Linked DNA regions of Rhinolophus ferrumequinum. The protein of the gene in region 4 interacts with the protein of the main gene of each other region in a biochemical or structural test. Links are inferred from orthologs where the notes say so. Each region holds a gene or a part of one and is shown on either strand. Other genes may lie near its edges.

What was found.
Region 1: of the proteins of UBA1 (region 4) and UBE2A, one has a biochemical effect on the other in vitro, tested with the Homo sapiens proteins (6 studies listed by BioGRID, with this or other methods). The link is inferred for Rhinolophus ferrumequinum from reciprocal best matches to the Homo sapiens genes UBA1 and UBE2A.
Region 2: of the proteins of UBA1 (region 4) and UBE2G2, one has a biochemical effect on the other in vitro, tested with the Homo sapiens proteins (5 studies listed by BioGRID, with this or other methods). The link is inferred for Rhinolophus ferrumequinum from reciprocal best matches to the Homo sapiens genes UBA1 and UBE2G2.
Region 3: of the proteins of UBA1 (region 4) and UBE2Q2, one has a biochemical effect on the other in vitro, tested with the Homo sapiens proteins (3 studies listed by BioGRID). The link is inferred for Rhinolophus ferrumequinum from reciprocal best matches to the Homo sapiens genes UBA1 and UBE2Q2.

The regions. Positions count from the first base shown.
Region 1 is NC_046284.1:37,347,825-37,354,831, reverse strand, and holds the start of UBE2A (ubiquitin-conjugating enzyme E2 A), read left to right. Parts: upstream 1-3,986; 5' UTR 3,987-4,189; coding exon 4,190-4,233; intron 4,234-4,367; coding exon 4,368-4,448; intron 4,449-4,865; coding exon 4,866-4,891; intron 4,892-7,007. UniProt on the Homo sapiens protein: E2 ubiquitin-conjugating enzyme that accepts ubiquitin from the ubiquitin-activating enzyme E1 and transfers it to a E3 ubiquitin-protein ligase. In vitro catalyzes 'Lys-11', as well as 'Lys-48'-linked polyubiquitination.
Region 2 is NC_046285.1:107,865,912-107,873,414, forward strand, and holds the start of UBE2G2 (ubiquitin-conjugating enzyme E2 G2), read right to left. Parts: upstream 3,001-7,503; 5' UTR 2,920-3,000; coding exon 2,877-2,919; intron 1-2,876. Other genes in the region: SUMO3 (small ubiquitin-related modifier 3), read right to left, coding at 6,342-6,434. UniProt on the Homo sapiens protein: Accepts ubiquitin from the E1 complex and catalyzes its covalent attachment to other proteins. In vitro catalyzes 'Lys-48'-linked polyubiquitination. Involved in endoplasmic reticulum-associated degradation (ERAD).
Region 3 is NC_046311.1:492,293-500,074, forward strand, and holds the start of UBE2Q2 (ubiquitin-conjugating enzyme E2 Q2), read right to left. Parts: upstream 3,014-7,782; 5' UTR 2,786-3,013; coding exon 2,609-2,785; intron 1-2,608.
Region 4 is NC_046284.1:86,707,918-86,714,823, forward strand, and holds the start of UBA1 (ubiquitin-like modifier-activating enzyme 1), read right to left. Parts: upstream 3,011-6,906; 5' UTR 2,871-3,010; intron 1-2,870. UniProt on the Homo sapiens protein: Catalyzes the first step in ubiquitin conjugation to mark cellular proteins for degradation through the ubiquitin-proteasome system.

The DNA.
Region 1 (7,007 bases), about 49 Mb from region 4:
AGTGGAGAATCCATTCTTTGTCTCTTCCAGTTTCTAGAGGCTGCCCACATCCCTTGGTTCCTCAGCTGGTGGCTGTATCACTCCAATCTCTGCTACCACCATCACATGGCCTTCTCCCTGAATTCGGACTCTTCCTTCCCTCTCATTTAATTCTAGATAACCTCCCCATCTCAAAATTCTTAATTTAACCACATCTGCAAAGTTTCTTTTGCTATATAAGGTAACATATTCACAGGTCCCAGAGATTAGGACATGGAGGTCTTGGGTTGGGGGGCATTATTCAGCCTTTTTTCCTCTTGATTCAACTATTCAGCAGGTAGTGAAATCCTATGTTCACACCTTAATTTCCCCATTTCTCTAAGCTTCACTATTTCTCTCTCCTCTCCTTCTTTTCCTTCCCTTCTCTCTTTTTCTCTTTCCTTCCCCCTCTCTCTCCTCTTTCTCTCCCTTCCTGTCCTTATGTCCTAGGAGCTATATAGATGGACAGCATACTACTACTTTTATTGCCAAAAGCACACACTGTGATAACTGTTCTTTCCTATGTGATCCTCTTGACTTGTCTCCTGAGATTATTTGAGTCAAGAAAAACCTATTTTCTGTTGTTTCTTGGTTGTCATTTGTGCTAAATTTTATCAATAGAAGTGGAAACTATAGGAAAATAAAATTCCTTTCCTTGACTGGCTAACAGAAATAAAAACTCACAGCCTCATGAGGCAGGAAATGATCGTTTATCTGGTCTCTCCTTCCAACCCAAAATAGTTCAGGAAAATCACAATCTATTCCACATTTTGAAATCCCACAATTTCCCTAGTCATATATTCCCATATTTCCTCCCTTTTAGGAAAATTCTCAAATCTTCGCCTACTGACAATTTGGAATTTTTTATCTTCCCTGCAGCTGCATTGCTAACACAGTTTAAGCTAAAAAGAACTTCCAGTTTCTTGACCCCTGCTCTTGGGGAAGAGGGGATGCTTGGCCGTGAAGATGTTATTTGTTTAAGATGTCAAGTTGAGAAGGGGCTGGAAGGACTGCTTGGCCAACTCTGCTATAGTTACTATGTTCTAGTCTGATAAATTGTCTGTGCTGGAGAACAATCTTCTGTGTTGCTGTTTGCTATGACAACCCTGCTTCTGATGAAGAATGTAGGAGCACAGTATTCCTGTAATGCAGTTCCACTGTGCAGTCAGGGTGCTCTCCCCATGCCCTGGTACCATGGGGCTTCCAAACTGCTTTGGTTCATGCTCCTGACTTTTCTTGATTAGATAGTCCCAAGAGGGAAGAGCAAAGGAGCTTCAGAAAACAGACAAGCCCGCAACAAATTGAAATGCATCTGTAGCATTTGATGACTCAGATATTTATATCCAGTGGCAAGAGCTTCCCAGTGTCTTTCCTACTCCCCTTCTCAGTAGGATGTTTTCAGCACATCTCTCTTAGGCTCAAACACTGACAAAAGCTACCTATCAAGCCTAAATTCCTCATCCTTGCATTTGAGGATATTTAATCAACTTCTGTCACCCTCACTTTTCCTAGTGGAGGTCTCATCATTCTCCATTAGCCACGTTAATCTGCCCACTATCCCCAGAACATGGTTTAGCTCCATGTCCTTGTTCATGCTGTTGCCCTCACAGAAACTGCTTGAGTTCTTCTCTCCCAAGCCCTGCTTCCATCTCTTTTGAAACAAAATTGAAATAGACCCATTCTAGGAAGCTTATTCTAACCCCACCAAATTGATGAGTCGCCTGCTGTACAGTACCTCAACATTTGCGGGTTCACATGCTTCTGCTATGTAGCTTGCTGCTGCTCTGGTAGGCAGAATTCTAAAATGCCATCCCCTCCCTCAAGATTCCTGGATACTGATGTACACACACCTTCTTCCAGTTATTCAAGCAGACACTAATCTAGGTTCTGCTGTGAGGGAATTTTGCAGATGTAATTAAGGTCCCAAATTACATGATTTTAAGACAGGACATTATCTGGGGTGGGCCTGATCTAATCAGATAAGCCCTTAGAACTGGGCACTTCCTGAAGAGATTCAAAGCATGAAAGGGATTTGATGGGAGAGAAATTCTCTGCTGCTGGCTTTGAAGATGGAATAGGCTACATGGCAAGGAATGTGGAAGATGTCCAGGAGCTGAGAATGGTCCCTGACTGGCAGCCAGTGAGGAAATGGGGACCTTAGTACTATAATTGGGAAGAACTGAACTTGGCCAACAACTTGTGATAGTTTGTTAAGCAGCAATAGAAAACAAATGCATCTGCTTTTGTAGATCTTGCTTTTGTTGATTTCATATGTGTGTATTTGTGCAAGCTCCTAAATGAGAGGAAAAGGTTTTTAAAACTTATTTCTGTACCGTCTTCCCACCACAGCTATAATGTGAGACTATTAGGGAGACTTACTTTAACTGATATGTTGAATTTAATGGGAGATATAAATCCTTGGCCATGAAGGTACGTGTTGTTAAGCAGCAGCTAGAATTACAACCAGTGTCAAGTGTCTCCTGCCTCCCATGTTACAAACAAATTTCTGCACCTCTGATGTCTTCTGGACATCTCTACATGGATGTCTCATCAGTCCTATGAACTCAGTAAGGCCCCAGATTTCCTCTCCTAAAACTGCCCCGTCCCTCTAGTTCTGTTACTGGCACCTTTAAACCTCCAGTTTGGCACCTTTAAACCTTACAGCTTAGAACTACAGCCATTGTCGACTCCTTCCTCTGTGTGACCCCCACATTTAATCTGTTGCCAAGTCCTCTCCATTCATCCCCTCATCTCCATTTTTATTGTCATTGCCTGATTCCATATCTCTCACCTAGAATAATTTCAGTCTCTCTCCTAGCTGCTCTCCTGGGACCAATGTCTGACTAGTACAGCCCTAATCATGTCACTTCTCTGCTCACCCACCTTCCAAGAAATCCATCAGCTTGGCATCCAAAATTCTCCAGGACTTAAGCGAAATCTACCTTTCTCATATTTTCAAAAATTCTTACATGAGCATTTTGCCTACCTTCTGAGTTATTTGGGGTTGACCTTAAAAATTATTCTTTAAAACTGTTATTGCTCTTGCAGGTCCGCATCTTGTGACTCTTCCCTGCCACCTCCACCTTTTTCACACACATCTTCCCGTTACTTTTACTTCAGATCCACTGCCCTTCCACTTCTCTGCAGTTGGACATTCTCAGACATTGGACCCTTCTGAATATATAGCAGCCTCTCAGCTTGTTGAACTGCCAAGGAGAAATGTGGTTCCAGAACCAAATTGTGAGTGTCCAGAGCTATAACCTCATTCTTGCTTAAACTCTCACTCTCTCCCTCAGGACACACACCACCATTTTATTCTGCTTTGGGGTGATCATGGGCCTAAATGTTGGGACTCGAATCTCGCACAGGAAAAGGGACCCACTGCCTCCTTTCATAGTTGAGGCCGATTTATTTTTTTGATTTTTCAGTGATTTTATAACAGGTCATACACAACCCGTCCCCAGTCTCCTGTGTACTCAGGGGATGTGCACCCTACAGTTCCCGCTTTTTGAGAACAGCTTTGCTTCAGCCCACTCCCCGCTTCTCTAGTTTGGGATGTCCATCCTTCTCCCCCAAGCCACAGGGCGCACTTTAAGTGATCTAGTCTTAAAAAAAAAAAAAAAGGAAAGAAAAAAAAGAAAGGAGGAGGAGGAGGAGGAGGAGGAGGAGCAGGAGGAGGAGGAGGAGGAGGAGGAGGAGGAGGAGGAGGAGGAGGAGGAGGAGGAGGAGGAGGAGGAGGAGATACAAAAAGAAAGCCGAGGAAAGCTTCCCAGGGTTCGTGCTAGATTTGGCAGGTGGGGATGGAGCCCATTCCACCACCCAATCCTGGGGAATTGGCCTCGCCGCCTGCCTCTCAGCCACCGTCGGGCTTCGGCGGGGGTTTAATGGCCTAAGCAGGTTTCCTTACCACCCCACCCTCCGCCCGTCTTGGTACCGTCTGTCCGGCGTTAGGCATTCCACCCCCCGTTCCTTCCAGGTTGGTTCAGCCCGGGTCTACTCCGGGGTGGTGCTTAGCCGGCGCCAGACCGACCCTCGACTTCTAAGGGGTAGTGCTGTGCCTCTAGGCGCTTCCTCCCCGGCTACTTCGGCTTCTCCAGCGTCCTCGGCCTCCTTACCCTCCGCGGGCACCCGAGAACTCGGTGTATGCTCCAGCCCTGACCCCGCTCGAGATATGTCTACCCCGGCTCGGCGGCGCCTCATGAGAGACTTCAAGAGGTAACTGACAGGGACCGCGGCGTCCAGGGCCGGCAGCGGGGCGCAGGGCGGGTCCCGAGGCGGGCCAGGGGAAGGGGGCTGCCCGGAGCGGTCGCGGCTGCCGGATCGTGGGGCCGCTGTCTGTTTCTCTGAAGGTTGCAGGAGGATCCTCCAGCCGGAGTCAGCGGGGCTCCGTCCGAGAACAACATAATGGTGTGGAACGCGGTCATTTTTGGGTGAGTCTCTGTTCCGGGCGGTGGCGAGAGATGGGGAACTCAAGGTGGCTCTGTCTGCCCTACGGGACCGGCCCCTGGCGAAGGCGGAGAGGGAAGGGGACAGTATTAGGGTCTGGCCGGGCCTAGGCTCCTCCCCGGAGCCTGTGCCTCGATTAGCTCAGTTCCCGCTGCCAGGGGAACCGTTTGGGGTTCTCAGGGGGGCGGGGCGGGGAGTGGTGGCGGTTAGAAGCGGCGGCCTGCACCAGGTTTCTGAGCCGGAAACATCTATTTGTGGTGGCTTTCCGACCCAGGAAACGGTGCTTTACCAGAGATGGAGTTGGCGGAGCTTGACAGAGCCTGGAATAGCCATCTCCTAAAATGAACCAGGGAGAAGGGAACCCCTTAAGCCGGAACTGACTGTTTTTCTCTCTGTTGCAGGCCCGAAGGGACCCCGTTTGAGGATGGTAAGAGAGTTTCTTTACCCACCTTTCAGGAGCCTGATCATCTGGTGAAAGGGTTCCTAGTCATCCTGGAAGTGCCTTCTACTTAGGAACCTGCTTCTCCCTAGCTTCTGCCTACTAAAGGCTTGAGTGGAATCTAGTATGTGGCAGGTTGTGGCAGTATGTGGCAAGCTATTGTCCGCTTGACTAGAACTGCAACTTTTGTCTTGCTTGCTTCTTTAAAAAAAAGTCTGGGTAAGGCAATCACTTTTTAAAAGGAGCATCATAGCACTGATATTAAGGACTTTTGAGGTCTGGGCTGTGATCCTGCCAAATTCAGCCCCCCTTCAAGATACTGAGTACATATCACCCCAACCACTTGCTGATAGACTCAGAGACCCCAGAGACCATCTAGTTAGAATTTGAGTGCCTCAATTAAGACTTTATGCTCAGTAATCTCAATCTTCAGTATTGACGGTAGCCTTAATGGACTTTCAGCTGGTGTCCACCCTACTTGAAGGGACTACATGTACTTACAGCCACATAATTTTTAATGGATTTTGGTTTGACTTTTAAAAACACATATTAATTGCTTTTTAAAAACTTTGTATTCCAGATAATTATAGATCCATTTGTAGTTGTAATAAATAGAGACTGTATGCCCTTCACCCACTTGCCCCATCCCCTCTTTTGGTAATATCTTGAATCACTATACTACAATATCACAATCAGGAAGTTGACATTGCTAGTTTTATGTGCACTCAATTGTGTGTGTAGTTGATTATTGAACATTTAATCCATTTAAAATATGATTAAAAATATTTGAACTACTGATTGACATCTTTAATATTGAGGTATTTAAAAAAAGAAAAGGATCTTTCTGTTGCTTTTTTTCTCACAATGATTTATCTTCCTTTGGTCATGTAGCATGTGTGTGTGTGTGTGTGTGTGTTTGTGTGTGTATATAATATATATATACATATATATGTGTGTTGTATATATATTTGTGTGTATACACACACACACGCACATAAGTCAGTTTGAAGGTGGGAACAAAAACATTTCTGCAAACTACGAAGTCATACTTATGTTGCCGAGTTGGATTGCTTTTTGATGCTACCAATTCACAAGATGTGAGGTAGGTCAATATCAACCAATTCTATAATTTGTCTCAAATGCTCAGATTTCCCTAGGAGACTGCAGACAGTCACCTGAATACTTTTAACTTCCTGTCTGCTTTCATCCCCTGGGTAAATATCACTGTTCTTCAGCGCTGCAATAAAAATAAGTGACAGCAGGAGAGAGGGATACTAAAGGCGCAGTACTTTGGTGCAGTAAATCATTTGAAATTATCCAAAGCAAGACTTAATTTTCCTCTGCTGGATTGGTGCTAGTTCTTCCTACCTAAACTTTATGTGCAGATTAACTGTATATTTGCTTTAGCTTTAGCAGGCTTTGTTTTCGTTGCCTTTTTTTTTTTTCCTCCTGATTTTGCTCAAACTGCTTTATGCTGGGCATAGCTTTATTAATAGTGTATCATTTTGCTGGAAGTTAGCTACTTAAATATTTCAAGGGTGCTTCTCTTGTTTTAAGTGGTATGAATTGAAAAGGTACTTATGGAATCCATTACCTACCTGGATCTTCCCTCCTGACATTACAGGCTCTGTTTTTAATGATGTGTATCTCCATCCTGGCATTACTGAAAGGAATTACTCAAGCTCAATGACAGTAGCCTTTTCTGATTCATTCTGTTGAGCAGTCTGCTATCCAAGGATGCTTCCTCAGGTGTCTAGACTGGGGCTAGGTGTCACTGACTGGGGCTACAAAAATATTTTGATGATTTGTTAATATCCGTCACTTACAGTTAGGGAATTTACTGGAAAAGACTGATTATGGACAAGTGGCATAGTTGATTTTGCTGTTTCCATGTATTACATAACTCAACAGCCTCAAAACTACTTTTGCTGTTTCCTTGTAAACCATTTGTAATAGAAGTTTCTGGAATAGCCAAGCTCTAGTTACAGAGATGAAATCTTAAGAAACAGAACTCTTAAAGGTATTTTGATTTAACTTCACACACTTGAAGTAAGAGGAAAATGTTCCCAAGAGCTTACACTACCAAACAAAGCACTGCGTAGGG
Region 2 (7,503 bases), on a different chromosome or scaffold from region 4:
TGGGGTTCCTACTGCACTGGGTTCATTAATGTCCGCCAGAATCTGTGACAGTGACCTCATCTGGAAATGGGGGCCTGATGACGAACTCAAGTTCCAATGAGGTCACACTGGACTAGGGTGGCCCTAATTCACTGACCGGCACTTTTATAGGAGGGAAGATGCCACGTGAAGACAGAGGCAGAGACCGGAGTGACACCACCACAAGCCAAGGAATGCCAAGGATGGTGGCAGCCACCGGAAGCCAGAAAGGCGAGAAGGGCCTTTCCCCAGGGCCTTCAGAGGGAGAGCGGCCCTCCTGACACCTTGATGTGGGACTTCCGGCCCCAGAACTGTGAGAGAACACGTGTCTGTCGTGTTAAGACACCCCCTGGTGCACTTTGTTAGGGCAGCCCCGGACACTCAAACCCAAGTCTACCTCTGCCGTCCTGGGAAAGGCCAGGGGAGGAGTGAAGACAAACATCTAAACAAGGCATCCGTTTAAAACACTGCGTTCTTTACCTGGCTCCTTTTCTCGTGTTAAGAACCGAAGCAAATCATTTTGCCTCTCCAGTGTTCAACTTCCTGTAAAAGCGGGGGCCTGGGCAGAATCATAGCCAAGGTCGACTGCACTCCTGCGACGGTGACGGACGGACAGCACGCCTGGCCCTGACCCTGGCCAAGCCTATCTAAGCCCCTGCCACAGGGCAGCTGATTGTGTGGGTGTGCCACCTTGCAGACTGGTAGGAGGACGAACTAGACGCTAAGACACAAAAGACAAGAATCAGTCAGTGGAACATGACCACGTTACTAAGACACAGCAACAACAACACCCCTCAACAACAGACTTCACTTCCTATCGCTCACAGGACAACTCACCACACACTCAGTGGCTTACAGCAACCCCCCACGACGCGCTTCCTGTGTCAGAGGCTGGGCAGGAAGGTTCTCTGCTTAGTCTCACAAGGCAGCAGTCAAGGTGTTGGCAGGGCGGCCCCCCAAACCCATTCCGGGTGTTGGGGAATTTGGTTCCCACGGCTGTAGGATGAGGTCCAGGTTCCTGGCTGCTCGGCCAGGGACCATTCATTCTCAGGTTCCACCTTCCTGAGCTCCTGGCCCCTCTTCCCAGTTCCCCTCCTCAGGACCTCCTCTCCCGCCTCTCCTCTCCTGCCTTCCCCTTCTGTGTTGGGGCCTCGTGCGATTACTGGGTTGCACCCTGATAATCCACGATAATCGTCCTGTCTTAAAGTCAGGTCGTTAGTAAGCCAGTTACAGCTGCAAAGTCCCCTCTCAGCAGAGCCTAGGCTGGTGTCCCACTGCGTAAGCGGGGACAGGGATCTCGGGACATGTGTACACTTCTGCCGGCACAGGCTCCCACGTGCCACATATTAACACGCACACATAATACACTTCTGTGATACAGCTTTGAAAGTCAAATATTATATACATTCCATTACTGCAAACTGACAACATGGTTGAAATAATGGATGAAGCTTTGAGTGAAGAGAAAAATCGCCCTGGCCAATGCAAATATCCTGAGGAAATACAAGTTCAACAAAACAACGACTGGACTGAAGCAGCAGCCGGAACTTCATTCCCGTGAAGGGGCTTAACAGATTCCTTCTCCACAGAAACAAGAAAGATAATACTCACTCGTGGTCTAGAAACAAGGCCAAACAGACTAAGCCAGACACAGAAGCACAGAGCAGGGTGGCAGGGAACCGAAGGACTCCCAGGAGACAGAGGCCACAGCCCCCACCTCACCCCCGTGTCCCCTCACTCTCAAGTCTCCCGGAAGCATCTGTTCCTACTCCAGAGGGCCCAACGTGGAGAGTATTGTCCAAATTATTTTATTGCGCCTGCATCTGCGACAGTTTGCTAATCACCTCTCCCCACGCAGTGCCACCAACATGGTTTAGGAAACTGAGCTGCATGCATATGTATCAATTATTTTCATTAAGTCATTATTTTCAACTTTCTTCCGAAGGTACGTGCAATGTAACTACAACAACAACATCGAACATGATCAAGAGCTACCTATGAGGTCTGTCGTGAGGCGTTCGCGTCTCCAGGTGAGGGACGCGCAGAGGCGAAGGGGCGAGCCAAGGTGGGAGAGCCGGGAAGCACACGCAGGCCCTGCTGTCACCCAGGAGCGGGCTGCCACTCGGGCCCCCAGCTCAGAATGGCACCCCCGGGCGGGTCACGGCAACTGTCCCGGGAGCATTCCGCGGGCTGGACAGAGGGACGGCTCGGGAAGCACTAAGGCGCTTTGCTGAGCACTGCCTAGGAGGACGGGGGTGGCACCGTCCAAACGCTCCGCTCCTTAGGCGAGAAAACCAGAACGCGACCTTTCACCGCGAACTCACCACAACGCGCTTCTCCCCTAAACCGGCCCTTTAAGTTCTCGCGGGCACTTTCGGCTTCGCTGCCCCCTCCCCGCACGCTGGAAGCAGGGAGTTCTCTCCATTACCGAAAGGGCCAAAGCCAGAACTAAGGAACAAACGGACACTGGACGTCACTCCTGACGCATTTCTAAACCAAGGCGGCAGGAACGTGGCCTCGCCCCTCCCGAGCGCTCTCCGCACCACGTACCGACACCGGGAGAGGAGGCGCAGCCCGGAGACCCTGCGGCTCCCAAGTTACCGCCACAAGACGCGCTCGCTCCTCCCGTGCACAAAGGGGCACGCTCCGTGCGGCGAGGAGTCCGACCCCGGGGCCCGCACACCGCCCAGAGGCGGCCCGCAGCGCCCCCGGCCCGCGCGCCCAGGGCCTCTCGGAGCAGCGGCCGGGGACGGGGGCCCAGGGCCGGGGCCGGGGCCAGGGAGGCCGAGCCAGGGCGGCACGAGGGGCCGGGAGGAGGCACGGCGCCGCCCAGGGCTCCGCGCCGGCCCGGAACTCACGTTTGTACTCGGCCATCAGCCTCTTGAGCGCCGTCCCCGCCATCGTCGGGGTAACAGCTGTGCGGTCCGGCCTTGCCTCCGAAGCGCTCGTATCCTCCCGCCCGAAGCCCGGGTTGCTTCCGGGTCGCCGGCCGGACGCAGAAGCCCTTCCGGGGCGCGGCGCGCGCGTGCGCAGTGGCGGGCCGGCGGGCGGGCGCTGTCGGGGGCGCGGCGGGGCCGCTGTGGCCCCGAGGTCGGGTGAGCGGGGGTGACGCCCGGCCCCTCAGCCGCTTTGTGGGGTCAACGCCGCTTCCGGCGGCCCTTATACCTGCGGGGCCCTGGTTTCCCCAGAAGATCCTGGGCGACAGGCGCACACTGTCCCGTCACACTGGCCGCAGGAGGGTCCGATGGAGGACGGGACCGGTGGCTGGGCGATGGACTGCGGGCTGGGCAGACGTCATTCTGGTGGGGTGTTTTTTAGAGACCCCAGGAGGAGGGGTAGAGAAGGAGGCGGCTGCAGTCGCTGAAGCGGCCACTGCACGTGGGCGCGACGGGCGGGCGCGCTCGCCGGCACCCCTGCCCTAGGGGCAGGTTACTGACGCCAGGCCCAGGGGCGAAGGAGACCGGCTCCGAAGACATCCACACATCGATGCCCCGACTACCTCCCGACAGGGGACAGGGGTTAGGTTTGGAAAGAGAAGGTTGGTGACGGTGGTGGCGTTATTCCGCGTCATCGCGGCCCAGCCGGGACTCGGGGTGCCCAAGACTTGGCCCCCACTGGAGACCCGAGCCGCAGCCAGCCCGCTGCCTGCCGAGGATGACAGGGTTCTGAGTAACAGGTGATGTCTCATGGCTCCCTAAGCATCGCACCTTGGGGAGGCCAGCAAGTTAGAAAAAAATTAGTCTTTTGTATTTTGGCAATTAAAGTTCTGAAATATAAAAAGTATGTCACGGCTGAACCCGTGTTTTAAGGTGGAGCATTAATATGCTTCGCCACCTGTAAGTTTATGCAGGACGACGGTGGGGTTTTCAGTGCTGACATGGGGCAGTGCCAGCTGGGATCTGGAAACCAGTTAACAGGATAAATACAGCTATCTCCTCCTGAAGCATGAATTTAACCCAAAGATCTTGGGATTTAGATGTGTAACTTACCATTTTTAAAATATTAATACTGAGAGCTGTTATTCCAAATGCACCATTTGCATAAATTTTAAGAGAAAAGACAACCTCAAGGACAGCTTCCTTCTCCGGTCAGGTGTGGGGGACTTCAGGCAGCACTGCACTGTCGCACCTGCAGCTCAGCACTGCTCACTCCACTGAAGGCACAAATGCAGGGGCCCCTCTGTGAGATGTACCCGCCCCCAGCTTTTCCAGGGCACCTGCAAATGACTCACCCCTGTAATGTGCTTCAGCCCACCTCCTTTTGCTGGTGTAAGCCTGGCTAGAGCGCACTTTTTCCCAGCTACTCTTGACCCTCACCTGATGGACTAAAACAGCTCACTCCCTTTCACCCCTGGTTTTGTCACAGCAGAGTCCACTGGAAGTCCTCTGTCAACTTAGCATCAGTTCACTCAATTTCAAAGAGTAGCTTGTCAACCGCACAGAGGAAAATAGAAGTCTGACAGTCAAGTACCCAACAACGTGAGCCACCCAGCCTGATGTCCAGATCCACTGCCTCCAAAACCCACCCTCTGGGGCGACCGGATGGCTCAGTTGGTTAGAGCACAGGAGCGCGAGCTCTGAACAGGGTTGCGGGTTCCATTCCCACATGGGATGGTGGGCTGCACCCCCTGCAACTAGAGATTGAAAACAGCAACTGGACTCGGAGCTGAGCTGCGCCCTCCACAACTAATTGAAGCACAACTACTTGGAGCTGATGGGCCCTGGAGAAACACACTGTTCCCCAATATTCCCCGGTAAAATTAAAAATAAATAAATAAATAAAACCCACCCTCTCTTCACGAGACACCGAGGAGACACCCAGGAGAGGAAAAGTCCATCACAATGCATCCCAATGCATCCCAATGCCCGTTTGGCTCACCTGTCACGGAAGAGCTTCGGGAGGAGACAGGATGGCCCCCTCGGCCCCAGCCCAGCAGGGGTGTGGGGAGGGGTGCAGCAGGTGGATACTTACTTTTCAGCAACTAGCCTTTAAATGGAAGTCTGGGTGGCCTCGCTGAATGGTCACTACAAATGCTGAATTGTGACAGTCAGCCCCAACCTCCAAATGCAGTATTTAATACAAGAGACAGAATACCAAACTATATTTACTGTTTACAGTAGTAAAGGACAACAAAGAATGTACAAACTGGTGAATTAACATGGCCAGCAGACACCCCACCCACACCCCAACAGCAAAACACAAAGGAAAGGCAAGATTCCGGGCAAGCAAGAGATGACAGTCATGGTCGCACTGTCCAGGTGACAGAACGAGGCAGAGCAGGGCCACCAGGCAGCAGTGGGTCCGTACAGAGGGAGGAGGGGAACTAAAAGTTTTAACAGGTACAGATCCCCAAACGTTTCACAGACTGAAGTCACAGCTACGGTTTGGGAAGCAGCAGAGCACAGCCCTCGAGAGGGACAGGAAGTTGTCTCTGCACAGGCCGTGTGACCACACTTGGAAACAGCTTTTACACAAAACGTCACTGCAAATTCAGCAATACTTAATCGTACTTTTTTATATCAAGACCATAATTATTCATCAGAAGCAAATACCAGAAGAAATCTGAGCGTACTATCACCAAGTGAGAAATGTGGGGACTGCTTTCCTCTGTAGTAAAAGGGGAAAAGCCCATTTCGCTGTGCCAGGCTTCGCCCATGCAGTGTCACGGCCACTGCACCCACCCTCACCCGAGGGGACTCTGGTGGAACAGAGCACCCAGGGCCATGTTACTGAGGGACTCACTTATTTTCCTTTTTACCTTTTAGAAAACATTCCAATATTCTCCCTTCAACTCTACCATATTCTCACAAAACTTAAATTTGTAACATTTGGCATTTAAAAAAACCTGTGCCTACAAGAAATAGTTAAGTGGAAGTTTGTCTCCCACCCCCACCATGCCCCCCGACTTGTCCCACAGAAGCACCCCCACTGCAGTGACGTGAGCCCTCTATGTGACTGGAATAAGCAGTGGCGGGGTGGGGGGGTCAATACCTGGGAAAAGATCCCCGTCTAGACTAACAGTGGACCTTCAGGCCACAAGCTTGGGGAAATGTCATAGGAGGTGGGGGGGAAACAAAAATGAGAGCAAAAACAAACCCAAAAAACTCACGCTCATTTTCCTAAACAAAATGACAACTGCCTGGCCAGGTATTAGGCGAGGGTGTGTCCCTGCAGACAGTTCTGAGTTGCACCCGCGGGACGTCGCAGAGGAAAGGAATTTTGGTGGAGGTCCTCGGTTTCCGCAGACTCCTTTGTGATTCGCATGGTCACGTATTCACTATTCAACAGCAAACAAGGACGGTGACAAAGTGGGGCCGGTCCCTCTAGAGGCCGCATCCTGCGCAGCAGCCAGTCTTCCAGGAGCCTCCCGTCTGCTGCTGGAACACGTCAATGGTGTCTTCGTCCTCCATCTCCAGCTGGCAGGGTCGACGGGACAGGCACAGCAAGAGAGGGGGAAGCTGTTAGTTGTCACTCCATCAGAGGTACGGACACTGCTCTGAACACCGTGCCCACTGCAGTCCCCCTCACTAATGCACACCACCCCCCGCACTGGTCAACACTGCCCGATCACACCTATGCTCCGTGGCCTCCTCCCCGGGTCACAAGCAGGGAAAAGGCTTTGTCCAGAATTTCCTATAAGCCACTTACTCTCCAAGCTTCCCCTAACGAAATTCACAAAAGAATATTCAAAGCCGACTTTAACTGATAGCAAGGAAAACTAAGCCTCATTAAAAAATGAACAAGTATCTCAAATTCTTCCTGAAAATTAGACAAAGATTCCAATAAGGAACATCCAGTGAGCGGGGCCTCTTCATAACCAGGGCAGTGGGCGGTGCCTGCGGGTTCCAAAGCAAAGCCAATGAGCAAAGGACCCGCTGGGAGGGGCCACTGCTGCCCCCCCGCCCGGCCCCTCCCTGTCATGACCAGGCCCTACATGGGGCAAAAGCTCCCCACCTTCGCTTTCTGACAGCACGGGCACAGATGTCTACCTGATGACTGTCTATTCACGAAACTGAAGGAAGCTGCTACCAGTTTGTACAGAGACCAACCGGGCAGTAATGTTTCCCAGAAATGTTCTCAGAAATGCAGAGAAGTACCGTCTGGGCTGGCGGGTGCCCCAGACACCACGTGGGCGGGAGCCAGAGTGACAGGCGGGAGGAGAGCTTTCTAGCCCCCACAGTGCAAGCCCCCGAGGAATCCTCACAGAGCCAACCACTGTCTTAGCAGCAGCAGAGTCCCTCAAGAAGGTGGTAGCACGTCGCCTGCACATAGCTACTCAGACTGATGGGGACTCTGAAGGACCAGACACTCCAACAGAGTCTGGCTCTGGACTACGATGCCGTCGGGCTGTTGGGCTGGCGAAGGACAAGAACACAGCTTGAACCTCGGCCTCCACCTGCGACTGAAGCCTGCGACACGCTGGACCAACACTTACAGACAGGGTGGGGAGGGCAGGCGCTTACAAAAGCTAAGTGTGCCATGGAT
Region 3 (7,782 bases), on a different chromosome or scaffold from region 4:
AAATTGTCTTTCATAAGAAGCTGACGTTAAATTATAGATTTCCTATCAAGCCCTCAATGACCTTTTATTTATGCACTATCGACATCACTATCTTGTTGTCACCTCTGCACGTTTGACCAACTCTTGGCAGTGAACTTACACAATAGATAAGATTTTTGTTCAAATAGAATATAGCTAGAATGGTGACCATATAGTGAATGGAACAAATATTTACTCAGCATTTACTGAGTGGAGGATGAAAAGCATAATTATAGAATATTCTCCCCTGCCACCATTAAAAAAAAAAAGACTTGAAAAAAGACAAGCATCCAAAACTATTATAATAGAACACAAGAAAACATAACCAAAGCAGTAAATAGAAAGGACTTATGGAAGGGATGAAGAGGAAATAAATATCAGCCTGACCTGAAGATGACCAGAAGAGCCTTGAGAGACAGTCAGACACTGAAAGACGTGCCCCATGGGACAAACTGCTAAAGCAGAAGCCCGAAAGGACAGGCGCACAGGGTCTTTAGAAGATTATCAGGAATTAGCATGCATCACTCAAACACTACAGCAAATGCATAAGGATGCTTCTTGGTAAACATGGAGAAGACAGGGCCTGGCATGGAGAGCTTAATAAACACCTGGTGTAAGAGGAATGTTAAAGAACAGATCAAACTCATTATTATTATTTTTAAAGAGCTGTAACTTTTAGAGAAAAGCAAATCACAAACACAGCAGACAGGTCCTGACAGTTGAAATCCCACCCCACTTTTTCCTTGCTCTTTCCCCTCTAAGAAAATGGTATCAACATGAGCAAGTCATTTTAACACAACACTCCTCTCTGCTTAAAGAGGCTTCATCTTTGAGATACACACTGAAAAGTGTACAGATGAAGTGATATGTCTGGAATCTACTTCAAAATAACCAAAGGAGGGTGCAGATGAAATAGGATTGGCCAAAGGTTTATCACTGTTGAGGCTGGGTGCGTGGAAGTTCTCCACACGATTTGACGTGTATGCCCGTCCAAGTACGCGGAGCAGGTACGTGCACGACAACCACCTTCTGCCGGGTATCATGACGCAGTGGCAGCTCAGTTCGAACAGTGCGTTAGTAGTTCCGTTAGACTAGTTCCCACCAACGCTGCATCCATTGGGCGCCTACTGCACTCACTGCATTTCCTAACCCAGGTCGCCACGCAGGATCTTTGCGGGCAGACGCAGAATCCTAGCAGCCTCCAGTAAGGTTCTCCACGGGGCACTGCTGGCATCTGAGGTGGCACGACTCTGTGGTGGTGGACCGCCTGATCGTACAGGACATCTAGCATCCCGCTCCCCCGGTACTAAATGCCAGCACAGCAGCACCAGCATGTCACCCCCATGGGGACAGCGACGCGCTTCACATTTCCTAATGCCACCCACTGTAGAGAACCACTCTAGTCCTGGATGGCAAATATTTTCCCAAGTGAGCTGAGTAACTTGGTGGTCCCCACAGCCTACAAGTTCAGTCTCCTGTCACTGCAACCAGCCCTACCTTTTGGGGGCTGTCCCCAACTTCCATGAGAATAGTCACCACTGGGCCAGTCTCCTGCTGAGAAAACCTGCACCTGCCAAATCCTGGGCTTCTCAGGTCACTGCAACTGCTCTCCTGCCCAGCAAAGCACGTTTTCCCAGCGGCGGGGTCTTTTCTGCCAGAGTCCTCAGCCTGAACCGCCCTTTTGGTGCCTCACGAAGTCTCCTCACCTGCACTGCCCGCCGCCTCAGAGCCTTCTCCGAGGTGCCGCCAGCCCAGCAAAATCAAAACGGGGTGCTGTCTCTGGCTTTCCCAGTGACACACAGAGCGGGGTCCCAGCTCGTCGTGTTGGCGGGTTCCCCCACCCCGCCCAGCGGAGCTCTGGGAGCAGGGGCTCCCGCCCCACCCTGCAAACGGTCTGGGAGCCTGAGGGGCTCGGGGACCGGGTCTCTGCTCAGGACAGCGCCCGACTCACGTCCTGGGGAACACACGTCTGCTCCCCCAGGTGGCATCCCTCAGTGTTCGCCGACTTCACGGGAGGGAGGCAGGGACCCTGGCCCGGCGTCACAGGCACGGAAGCCACCACCAACCCCGCTGCAGCCAGGAGCAGTCTGCAGCGCGCACCGGCCACAGAGGGGCCCCAACTTCCCGCCTCAGCCACCCCTCCGAGCCCGGGTCTCCGAGCCGCTCTGCTCCGGGAAGACTGAGCGCACGGGGTCCTTCTGGCTCGGGGACAGGAGCGCACGTTGTGGGCGGCAGCCTGTCCTCACCTGCAGGCCCTGCACCTGCGGCACCGGGCGCGCCGCAGCCCCTCACACCGTCCGGTTCGGTGTCAACTTAAAGTGCTGCGGGACAGCGCGCGGCCTGACGGACTGCCGAGGGTCGGTCCCCTTCCGCGCCGCCCGCGCGCCTCAGCGCGGCCGCCGTCCCCGTCCCTTCGCCTCCCGTCACCTCCCTCACCCCGGCGGCGACCCGGCCGCGAGGGGGCAGCGGCCCAGCCCGGGGACGCCGAGGCGGCGCCGCCGGCCCCCGAGCCTCGCGCGGCGGCGGCCTGGCGTCTTTGTCCCAGCCCGGCCCCGGCCCCGGTTCCGGCCACGGCCGGGCCCCGCCTCACCGTGATGTTGCAGTGCAGCGTGAGCGGCGGCGCCGGGGCCGGGCTGCCGGGCGGCCGCGCCAGGAACTGGCAGTGCAGCTCGTCCAGCTTCCAGCTGACGATGCGGAACCGCTCGTGGTTCTTGTGGAAGATGGACGCCAGGAACTTCAGCTCGGCTTTGAGCCCCGACACCGACATCCTGGCCTCATCTCCGGCGGCAGGGAGCCGGGCCCGCGCCGCCGTCACGGCCGGAAGATGGCGAGGCCGGGCGCCGGGGCCTTGGGGCGCAGGGACGGCGGGAGGGCAGCCGGGCAGGCGGGCGGCGACGGCCTTTGTAACCGACTCGGCCGGCTGAAGGCGGCGGCCCGCGGCTTAAAAGGGCAACCGCGACCCCGCCCGCCTCCCGCCGCCAGGAGAGGGCTGCCCGCCCCGCCCCGCCCCCCGGCGCGCCCCGCCCCCTCGCGCGCCCGCCCGCGCGCTCCCGCCAGGCACGCGCGCGCGCCCGGCGCTCGCGCCCGCGGCTCCCGCCTCCGCCACGTCGGCGCGCCGCCCGGACCCCTTAGCGGTATCGGCCGCCGGCTGCCTGCGGGCCCTGGCCGACGCCCCCTCCTCGCTCGCACGCGCGCCGTCTACCGAAGGCGACGACTGGGCCCCGTCATGTCCCACTTGCCCTTGTCCGCGGCCTCTGTTCATTCACTCTGCGTTCATTTCCTCTCAACCGCCTGAGCCTCTGGCCCGGCTTCCAGCGGGTCGTAACCCCGTCCGCGCCCACGGAGGCAGGGTTGCCAGGTTCCAGTCAAGTCCCAACTCAGATGTCATCTCAGACCCGGCCTCCCCGACCCCGCCATCCAAGACAGCCACCCACTCACCCAGTGTCCACTGTTTCCTCTGCACCTATCGCTGTCCGATATTTTTCCTATTTCTTTGCCCACTGTCTCTGCCCAACACGAAAGTCTTATTCCGGCCCAGATCCCCAAGACCTTTACTATATGACACCCAATATGACTGCATGGACGCTGCTATGGGACCCCCAACATTAACACAACCCCTGGCACATTCCAGGTGCTCCAAAATCGGGCGAAGGATGCCCAGCAGGGCAAAGGAGGACGACACTACTGGGCACCAGTTAAAGTGTGTTTAGGACCGAGTGCCAGAGGCAGGGCCCAGCTGACAAGGCTTTCTGCTGGGTTTAATGCTCTGCTGTACCATTTTGAAATGCCTCATTTTTCAACAAGTGGCTCAGCATTGTCCTTTTACACTGGTCCTGACTCCAGGTCCCTAGCCCTCCACTTCATGATGCACCGAGGGGCTCTGGTCTCCTGGTCTTTTAGCTGACAGAATGAGGATCCACTGTCACTGAGTCCACTAAATGAGGAACATTTTAAACGTTTTTATTTACTTCTGAGATGTTGTATCATGATCTTGTGCTCCGTAGCCATTCTCACAGACCCCTTTGAGAATCTCATGAAAGCTATCATCCATTTTCCCAGGAAAACACCTCAGCATATAAAGTGTACTGATGGAGATTCATGGCCCTGACACAAGAAATGCCGCCAGCAACCGGGACTGGGAGGGGAAGGGATTCCAGTCCTGAGCTCTGAGCCGAAAACAGCTGGGATACTGCCCTGGTGTCACTGGGCGCCTAAGCACAGCCGCGGTTTGCTGCTTTCTTTTGTCACCAGTCCCCACTACTCTCGGGACCCTAACAGGCACAGAAGTCACAGACAAGAATTTGAGACAAAGGGCAAGAACTTGTTCAGAATTCAGTATGACTGAGAGATAAAGTGCCCTGAACAAGTGATTTGATCTATCTACGCTTCATTTTTTTAATTTCTAAATTGCTAGGAAAAAATAAAGAGCTTTATAAATTGCAAATGCTTTCACTAGTTAGACCTCAGAAATATATATAAATATTAATTTCACAATCATTTTTGAGCATCTGCTGTGTGCCAAGCCCTAAGAGGGCTAGAGCAATAAATAGATAGAGCCCCTGAATTCAAGAAGCTTGAAGTCTAACACTGGAAACAAAACAATGTTTCCTGGTTCTTTAGGTTGCAAATAACAGAAAACTGTGACTTACAGGGCTTGGACAATAGGAAACGGATTACTTCACATGATAGGAAGTCCAGGGCAGGCTCCAGGCTCGGCTGATTAGAGCTGCAGTAACGTCATCAAGAGCCCAGATTCCTTCCACCTCCTTTTTCAGGATGACAGCAAGGTGGCTGTAGCAATTCTTGTGGGTCATATCCAGACATGATGACATCCAGAGTCAGAAAGGACTATTTCCTCCATGTCTCCTTCCAAGATATGGGCACCTTTCTAAGAATCTGCCCAACTGACTTCCCCTCTGTGACACTAACCAGAAATGTGTCACATGCCCATCTCTAAACCCATCACAGGTAAATGGATGGGACCACTTACTGGACTCCCATCACCTGGGATGGAATGGACGTTGGGAGTCAACCATAACGCCTGCTACAGACACATCATATCACATGTGATAAGAGGGTCAAACTACTGAATTACTACCTGTCAGGAGAAGAAGAAATTAATTCCAGAAATTACCATCACAAAAGTATGGCCATGTTCACATTTTTTCAGAAGTAGAACAAATAATTCTGAAATTTATATGGAACCACAAAAGAGCTCGAATAGCCACAGCAATCTTGAAAGATATCATGCTACCTGATATCAAACTATACTTTAAGGTTATAGTAATAAAAACAGCATGGCATAAAAACAGACACATAGATCAATGGGTTAGAATGGAGAGCCCAGAAATGAACCTACACCTATATGGTCATTTAATCTATGACAAAGGAGGCAAGAATATACATTGGGGTAAAGACAGTCTATTCAATAAGTGGCTCTGGGAAAACTGGGAAATACACACAAAACACTGAAACTGGACCACCTTCTGATGCCACCTATAGGCATAAACTCAAAATGGATTAAAGACTTAAATGTAAAACCAGAAACCGTAAAACTCCTCAAAGAAAATATAAACAGTAAAGTCTCTGACATTTCTCTTAGTGATATTCTTTTCTGACATATCTCCTCGCTCAAGGGAAACCAAAGAAAAAGTAAACAAATGGGACTACTTCAAACTAAAAAGTTATTGCACAGCAAAGGAAACTCAACAAAACAAAAATACAACCTACTGAGTGAGAAAAGATATTTGCCAATGATACATTTGATTAGGGGTTAATATCCAAAATTTATAAAGAACTTACACAACTCAATACCAAAAAAAAAAATTCCGAACAATCCAATTGAAAAATGGGCAGAGGACATGAAGAGGCATTTCTCTAAAGAGGACATACAGATGGCCAAAAATCACAATGAGATTCCACCTCCCTCCTGTCAGAATGGCTCATCAATAAATCAACAAATAACAAGTGCTGGCGAGGATGTGGAGACAAGGGAACCCTCGTGCACTGTTGGTGGGATTGCAGATTGGTGCAGTCACTGTGGAAAACAGTACGGAGGTTCCTCAAAAAATTAAAAACAGAACTACCTTATGAGCCGCAATTCCATTTCTGGGTATTCATCCAAAGAAATCCAAAACATTAATTTGAAAAGATATATACACCCCTATGTTTACAGCAGCGCTATTCACAATAGCCAAGATATGGAAACAACCCAAATGCCCCTCAATGGATGATTGGATAAAGAATTGTGGTACATCTTACTATCTGCAACAACATGGATGGACCTAGAGGATATTATGCTAAGTGAAGTAAGTCAGACTCAGAAAGACAAATACCGTATGATCTCACTTATATGTGGAATCTAAAGAACAGAATAAACGAGCAAACAAAACAGAAACAGACTCAGAGACACAAAGAACAAATTGATAGTTGCCAGAGGGGAGGAGGGTTGGGGAACTGGGTGAAAAAGGGGAAGAAGTACAAATCGGCAGTTATAAAAATAGTCACAGGGATGTAAAGTACAGCACAGGGAATATAGTAAATAATATTGTAATAACTATGTATGGTGCCAGGGGGGTCCTAGACTAATGGAGGGATCACTTTGTAACTTATATAAATGTCTAACCACTATGCTGTACACCTAAAACTAAAATAAAGTAATATTGAGTGTCAACTGTAATTGAAAAAAAAAAGACCACGGTTCCAATTTCCATAGAACTAATAGATCACTATTTCCAAAAAAAAAAAAAATTTAAAATGTTTCCAATAAGAGTTGCTGAAATAGCTCAGTTGGGAGAGCCTTAGGCTGAAGATAAAAATGTTTCCAATACAAAAAAAAAGTATGGCCATATTCATAGAGCATTCAAGGGTACACCAAGAAGATGATGAAGCTGAGATGCTGGAGACCTGATTTTGGAGCCCTGAGATACCATGCCAAGGACCAGTTTCATTCAGTGAGATCATCCCTTTTCAGAAGATTAATCTGGCATTAGTGTACAAAGGGGATTACAGTGAGTTTCAAACTGTAAGTGGCCACCAAGAGGCAAGAACCCCAGAGTCCAGATGGGGCACGCCGTTGATTCAATGGGGCGAGTCACATCCTGCTCTGAGGTCTGGTCCATGCCAGCAGCGAGAAACGCTGAAGTGACAGAGGGGACCGCGGGAATGGGAAAGACTACACTGGTCCTAGGGATATGTCTGAGGTAGAACCTGCTAGATCTCAGAGTCGATACCGAGATGGAGGGAGAGAGAGAGATGTCATTCTGTTTCCTGTAACATTTTACAATTTCCAGAGTAGGTGGCTGGGAGAGAGTATGCTATGGACACAAACAGAGAAAGAGGAATTTGAGGTGTTGATGGGACCCCAGAGAACTTGTGTCTGGAGGGCATAAGGGAAGTCAGAGCAAAGGACATATCATTGTGCATCAGCGACGTGGAGTGATGGTGGAAGGGTGGTGAAGCCATCCATGGGTGTGGCTATGACCACTGAGTGACAGGCAAGGGAAGACCATTTGGACTACTGAAGGGACCCGAAGAGGCTCACGTTGGCAGTTTAATGGGAAACGATGCATTGGAGCAGATGATGACCCGTGTGTCGCATTATTGGCGGAAAGGACCAGAAAGATCAGGACCAAGAAAAAGCCATGGGCTTCAGGGCTGACGTCAATGGGGTCTTGGAGGAAACCATGGCCATGGGATGCTGGCCCTGGGGTGGAAGTGAAGGCTTCACAGTGATGAGAAAGAGAAGTGCAGCGGTCACCTGCG
Region 4 (6,906 bases):
GGCCGGAACAAAACCTTGGGCCCTACCCCCAGGAACCCGGATGCAGGCAGACCGCGCCCATTCATGAATCATGAATGTTGATCCCCGCATGTCAGGGACTCATTTGAAGAGGAATAGCTCCACCTGGTGGCTACTATGGCACTAACTAGGAAAACCAGGAAAGCAGAGGAACGTGAATAATGAATATATTGCTGCAGCCAGGCTGCCATGGAAACCAAGAAGGGACCTCAAGCCCACACTTCCTGATCATGAATTATGTATATGCCCAGGTGGTTGGTTGACCAACACTCTGCGACCAGAAAGCCAACATGGAAGCCACGCCCCACTGTCATGAATAATGAATGATCTTGCAGCAGCCCGGAAGCCAAGGAGACCAAGGCTACATCTCTTATGAATAATGCATGAGGCCCCGTGGGCTGGAACAAAAGGGGCAGGCCCACCTATTACAGCATCTAATACTCTGTAACCTGGGAAATAGGGCTACTACAGAAAAAATACCCTACCCGGTTCATGAATAATGAGTAACAATGTTGCAGCAGCTCAACCTGGAAACTCAGAGAGGTCAAGAAAGGTCCCACCCACTCATTATGAATTATGCATGAGACTGGATGGACAGCCCTCCCAGCAAGTAGGGATTAGGGTAATCCAGCCCTGGCAACATGGGCAAGCCTTCCTGTACATGAATAATAAAAGCCGATGCTGCAGAGCCATGGCGGAAACCCAGGGGAAGTGTAGCAGCCGCCTCCCCACCCCTGACTAACTGCACGTGAAATAGGGCTGCCTTGTTCCAACCAAATCCAGACGCACTACATGCCTCTGGCAAGTGCCTCAATTTCCATGACTGTAAAATGGGGATAGCAAGAGAACCCATCTACCTCATAAGGCAATATATTATCAAAATCAGAGAATATGAATTATGGATGAGCTCAGTGTAGTGCTGGCACAGGGCACTGTTAAATTTTAAAATATATATATGTGTATATTACTATAAAGGTAATATGTAAATATATTAATATAAAATTAGTTGTGTGTGAGCGTATTCGCAACCACTAGAGAAGCCCCCCAACTTGGGGCATTATTTAAAAAATAATGCCTTCAAACACCCTCCCAGAAGGACACTGGAAAACAGAAAGCTCAGGCCACCAATATCCATTAAATAGGTAGGACTGACTGCCAGATGAACCCCAAGCACCGAATACATTTCTGTCGAATAATAATAGATCCCATTAACAGATGTGGTGTCTCCTTTCCCGGCATTGTGCCACTGATCTCAGGAATGCAGAGCAGGAAATCGATTTCTTCTTGTCCTTCTTCTTGTCCTTCGGGTCTCAGCTCAAAGGTGACCTCCTTAGAGAGTTCTTAAACCCTCACAAAAATCACTTCCACCTACCGATGACTAGCGCTGTGACCTGGGGCCAGACATTTCACTTCTCTGGGCCACTGCTTCCCCACCCATAAAATGAGAATAGTAACCTACCTGATGATGGATTTTAAATGAATAAATATGTAGAAAGGGCTTAGAACCGTGCCTGGCACATAGTTCTATTTAACTAACAGTGGTAGTACCATTAAATTAGGGGGTACAGACTCTGGAACTAGACTGGCTAGGTTTGAATGCAGGCTCGGCCACTCACTGACTGGGAGTAGGCAAATTACTTACCCTCCCGGTGTCCCAGTTTCCTCATCTATAAAATAGGATAATAACAACTTACCTCCTAGGATTGTTGTGGGGATTAAATGTGCTAATAAAGTGCTAAATTAGTGTAAATTAATCTGATCGTCATCATGCCCATGCCCACTTTTCAGGCTCACGGAAAGATTTGACAAAGATCACACGGCTTGGAAAGAAGACGATTTGAATCTAGATCCTTTGTTGATAATCTGAGATTACTGAGCTTTAAGAAATGAACCATGCACGAGGTTTAAACCCTGGAGCCTACAAGGCAAAGCTAACAGTGTATCATGCAGATGAATCCATAAAAGCTACGCCCCTCATGAATTATGCACAACGCCCCTAGAGAAGCCACTGACAACTTGGGTGCTACTCACCTTTACGATTAATCAATGAGGTCTAGTTTGCCCGGCAAACTGTAGAACGCCCCTTCAGCACGCTGATCCGCCCCATCGTGAATAATTCACAAGCCGATACTTCCAGCGGACCAGGTGCGAAAGAGGCAAAAAAATGGGCTTCCTCATAGCCCCACCTCCTCATGAATAATGAAGAAAGCCGCGGCCAACGAAGGCCGGGTGGCACCCAGTACCCTCGGGAAGCGCGTAGCAAGCTGTGCTCCGGCGTCCCTTCCACAGCCTGGGCTGGGGGCTCCTCTCCTAACAACTTGTGGGCTCTGACCGGTCCAGTCTCCCCGCCCCGAGTAATCAAGCACGGGGGGGGGGGGAACCGCATCATATAAGCAGAGGTCACAAAGGCCACAGATACCTTCACAATGCCACGTCGGTCCTGAACGTTCCTACCGTGGTCAGGACCTCTCCTGAAAACAAGCCCTCTCAAAATTCCGCCTTGACTTCAGGGACCTCAAACTTCGCCTCTCCCCTTGGGAAGCACCCCAAATCCTGCCTCATGGACAGAGTACTCATTCATGGACCATAAGGGTCTCCCCAAACATCCCCCTAAACCCTGTCTCCGAGGGGTATATAAACCTTGTCTCCAAGGGATATTTCCTACAACAGATTCCCACATCCCTCCCCGGAGTCCCCAAAAGCCACTTCCTAAGGGTCCCTCAAAAACAGCCACCCCTAAAAGCCATCCCGGGCCCAGAGCCTCCAAATATGCCCATTGGGGGATCCCCGAAACTGAGCCCCCTCCCTCAAATTCTGTCCAGGGGCTTGGGGGGCACCGTGCTCCAGCTCACCCCCTGCGCCGGGCGGAAGCCTCGCCTTCCTGCTGGAGATGAGCCGAAGCCACGGGGCAACGGAAGAGCAAACCACCTCCGTCGCACAAGAAGAGCCAGAGTTTGCGCGGAGCTCGGAAGCGCGGGGACTTGGAGGGCCCCGGTTTGGGACGTACCACAAACGCTTAGCTAGAGGGGCGCCCGCCCCTGCTCCCGCGCCTTCGGCAGAACGTGTCAGACCCAGACACCCCTACGGGTTGTGGTCCTTCCTGAAAGCGCGAGGCATGCTGGGGGTGGTAGTCCGATCTGGCCCCCGGCTGGTGCACGTGGTGGGCATCAGCGGCCAGGGTATGGGAAAATGTAAACCTGGGCTGTGGAATTCCGGGAGCGGTGCTCTGGGAGTGAGAAAAGGGAGCGGAACACTGGGGTACCTCCAAATGGAAAGACACACCCATCCTCCAGATGGGAAGGCTGAGGCTCAGATGGCCAAAGGAGTTCATTCATTTGACATTTATGGAGCTCAAGCGGTAGGTCAGGCGCTGGGGATGCTTTCTTGCCTTCACGGAGCTGACATTCTAGCAAGAGAGACAGACCATAAACATAACACATAAGTAAAAATTATAGCTTCGCATATAAATATGTATTAAAATAGATACATGTGACTATATAATATATATTATGTAATACAATGTACATATAAATACTACATAGTTTACATAACATGATAGCTAGTGTCAATATGTAAATAATTTACATCTGTATATAATAAATGTCTTACATTTAATACATCGTGTATATTCTATATTTGCATGTGAATATATAACTAAATATATATGCAAATGTGTGTTGTATATATAATTCCTAAATGCTATGGAGAAAAATAGAACAAGGTAAGCAGAAATTTGGGGGACAGTGGGGTCAAGGAAGATGTCACGCGGGGTGTCATGCGGAGTCTCTGGTCCCGCTCCCCACATATGAACACAGGACCCGGTGAGGCCAGAAAGGAAAACCCACGGAGCCATAGATAGGGGAGTCATACCACTATAGTCTCACTGGAGGCTGGATTCACACGACGTGCGCTTTTCTGCCAACCGACCGACTCCCCATTTGCTAGCTGCAATCCGCCTCTGCAATCCGCAATCCACACTCCGCCGCTTGGTAGCTCAGCCACCATCTTCTTGCTAGGCCCTATTTTTCTGCTAGCGTAGCCACGGCAGTTATATTAGTGGCCAATGGCTCACTGGTTACAGCTGACGGCCAACTAGCCACAGCTGATGGCCATCCAATCACAGTTGATGGCCATTTACTACCTGAGCCAGCACCTTTCCACGTGAGGCCGAGAGCCTGGAAACTGCACTCCTGGCTCTGTCCCCACAGAAGGCCTCGCTGAGAAGATGTTTGAGCGAAGGTGTTTAACACAAAATGCCTTTAACATCTTATCCCAAATTCTGTACCTCATATCTTGTCAACAACCTCCAAATTTGTTCATTTGAAAAAGATTTATTGAATGCCTACTGTGGGGACAGAGTCCCAGAGAGCAGAAGGCTCTCGACCTCATATGGAAAGATGCTGGCTCAGGTAATAGATGGCCATCAGCTGTGACTAGTTGGTCATCAGCTGTAACCAGTTAGCCATTAGCTACTAATATAACTGCCTTGGCTACGCTAGCAAGAGGGGTTGGTTGGTTGGCAGAGAAGCGGACGGCGGATTGAGGCTGGCAAGTGGGGTTAGCAAGCGTGGTGGATAAGAGGATTGCAGATCGTGTGGGTCCTACTTCCTGCATCTCACTTGGCTGCCATTGAGACTGGGGTGCAGGAAGACCCCCTTGGGGTACTGGCAGATGTTTGCTTTTGTGTCTCGACCAGCTGCCATCGAGAATATAGTGATGTGACTCCCTTATCTGTGGCTCTGTTGTTCCTTTTTGGCCTCACCGTATCCTGCATTCTTGTGTGGGGAGTGGGAGCTGAGACCCTCCATGACACTTACTAAGTGCAGAGCACTGGGGACACTGCAGAGAACATAACAAGGAGACTGCCCTTGCAATAGTCAAGACCTCTCTTCCATCAGATCTTTTCCTTATTTATCGTTTGCCTCATCTCAGAGAGACCTGCCCTAATACCTGTGGGGACAGAGTCCCAGAGAGCAGTTTCCAGGCTCTCGGTGTCACGTAGAAAGGTGCTGGCTTGGGTAGTAGATGGCCGTCAGCTGTGGCTAATTGGCCGTCAGCTGTAACCAGTTAGCCAATTAGCCACTGATATAACTGCCACGGCTGCATTGGTGAGTTGAGTCAGTCGGTTGGCAGGCAGAAAAGCGGACAGCAGGTTGCAGGTCGTGTGGATCCAGCCTCCAGTGAGACTATAGCGGTATGACTCCCCTATCTATGGCTCCATGGGTGTTCCTTTTTGGCCTCACCATGTCCTGCGTTCTTATGTGGGGAGCGGGTCTAGAGACCCCGCAGGCCACCTCACACGACAAATGGTGCAGCGAGCAGGGTCTCCCGCACGACATACCCCATGTAAAGTAGTCAGGGAATGCCTCTCAGAGGTGGCATGTGAAAAGTGAGGAAGTGAACCACAAGGAACATGGGGAAAAGCATTCCGGATAGAGGAGACATCCAGTGCAAAGCCTTGAGCTTGGAAGTTCTTAGCATGTTTGAGGAAGTGCGTGGAAGTCTTTGTAGCTGGAAAGCAGTGAGGGAGGGAGAGTGCTGTGAGATGAGATCCTAGGCCATGTCAAATAGGGCATTGCAAGCCAGGCTGAAATGTTTTTTATTCTAAGATCCATAGGAGCCATAAAAAGATTTTAAGCAGGAGAGTCACATTATATAAATTAGATTATATTTTATTTATTTTTTTAACAGGATTTTATTGGTGAACAGTGTGTACTTCCAGGACTTTTTCCAAGTCAAGTTGCCATCCCTTCAGTCTTCGTTGTGGAGGGTACAGCTCAGTTCCAGGTCCAGTTGCTGTTGTTAGTTGCAGGGGGTGCAGCCCACCATCCTTGCAGGAGTCGAGGAGTCGAACTGGCAACCTTGTGGTTGAGGGCACCCTGGCCTATATGGGAATCGAACCAGCAGCCTTCAGAGTTAGGAGCACGGAGCTCCAACTGCCCGAGCCACCGGGGCCGGCCCCCTATAAATTATATTTTAGAATAAACAATCTGGCTGCTCTGTGTGGTGAGAGAACAAACTGTAAGGGGAAAGGGAGAAGCAGAAAACTCAGTGTAAAGGCTACTGCAAGAGTCAAGGAAGTGATGAGAGAGGATCAGACCAAGGTGGTAAAAGTGGAAGTGGTGAAGTGGTGAGGAAGGATTAGATCTTGGATTGATTTTGAAGGTAAAGATGCCAGGATTTGCGAAGGGGTCAGATACAGGGAGATACAGAGAGTCTTGGCTGACCCCCGGGTTTTTAGTCTGAGCAGCTGGAAGGATGGAGTTGTCATCAGCTGACAAGGGAACTACTCCATTAGGAGCAGGTGTGGAGCAAGATCAGGAGTTTGTTTTTAGATGTTACATTTGAGATGTCTGTTAGACATCCAAGGTCTGGTATGTGTCCGTTGGGTGAACAGTTGGGGACCAGGTCTGAAATTCAGGGGCTGGAGGGAAATCTGGGCTGGAGATATGAAGACCATTAGGGGTGACAACTGAAGCCATGTGTGTGGCCAAGTCCTTCTTTGAAGAATTGATTGGCTTCAAATGGATCAGTGGGAGTAATTGAGGCAGGATTTGGACTTTCCCAAGTGAGAGGGAAAGGCATTCCAGTGGGAGGGAATAGCTTGAGCAAAAGCATGTGGAGAAAGTAGGGGGGGACAGTGGGGGCCGCAATAGTTGTACCATTTCACATTGCCTCCAGCAGGAAAGTGCCTTTGGATGTTTGCCAATCCTGTGTAATTATAATTTGCATTTTCTTCCTGGGAGTGAACTTAAACATCCCTTCATAAATTTAAAGGTATTTGCAGTTCTTTTCTGGGAATTCATGTCCTTTATGCATTTTCTATTGGATGGTTGTACTTAATAGATTTTTAAGGAACTGTTTATTAGCCTTGTTTTAAAAAAATGG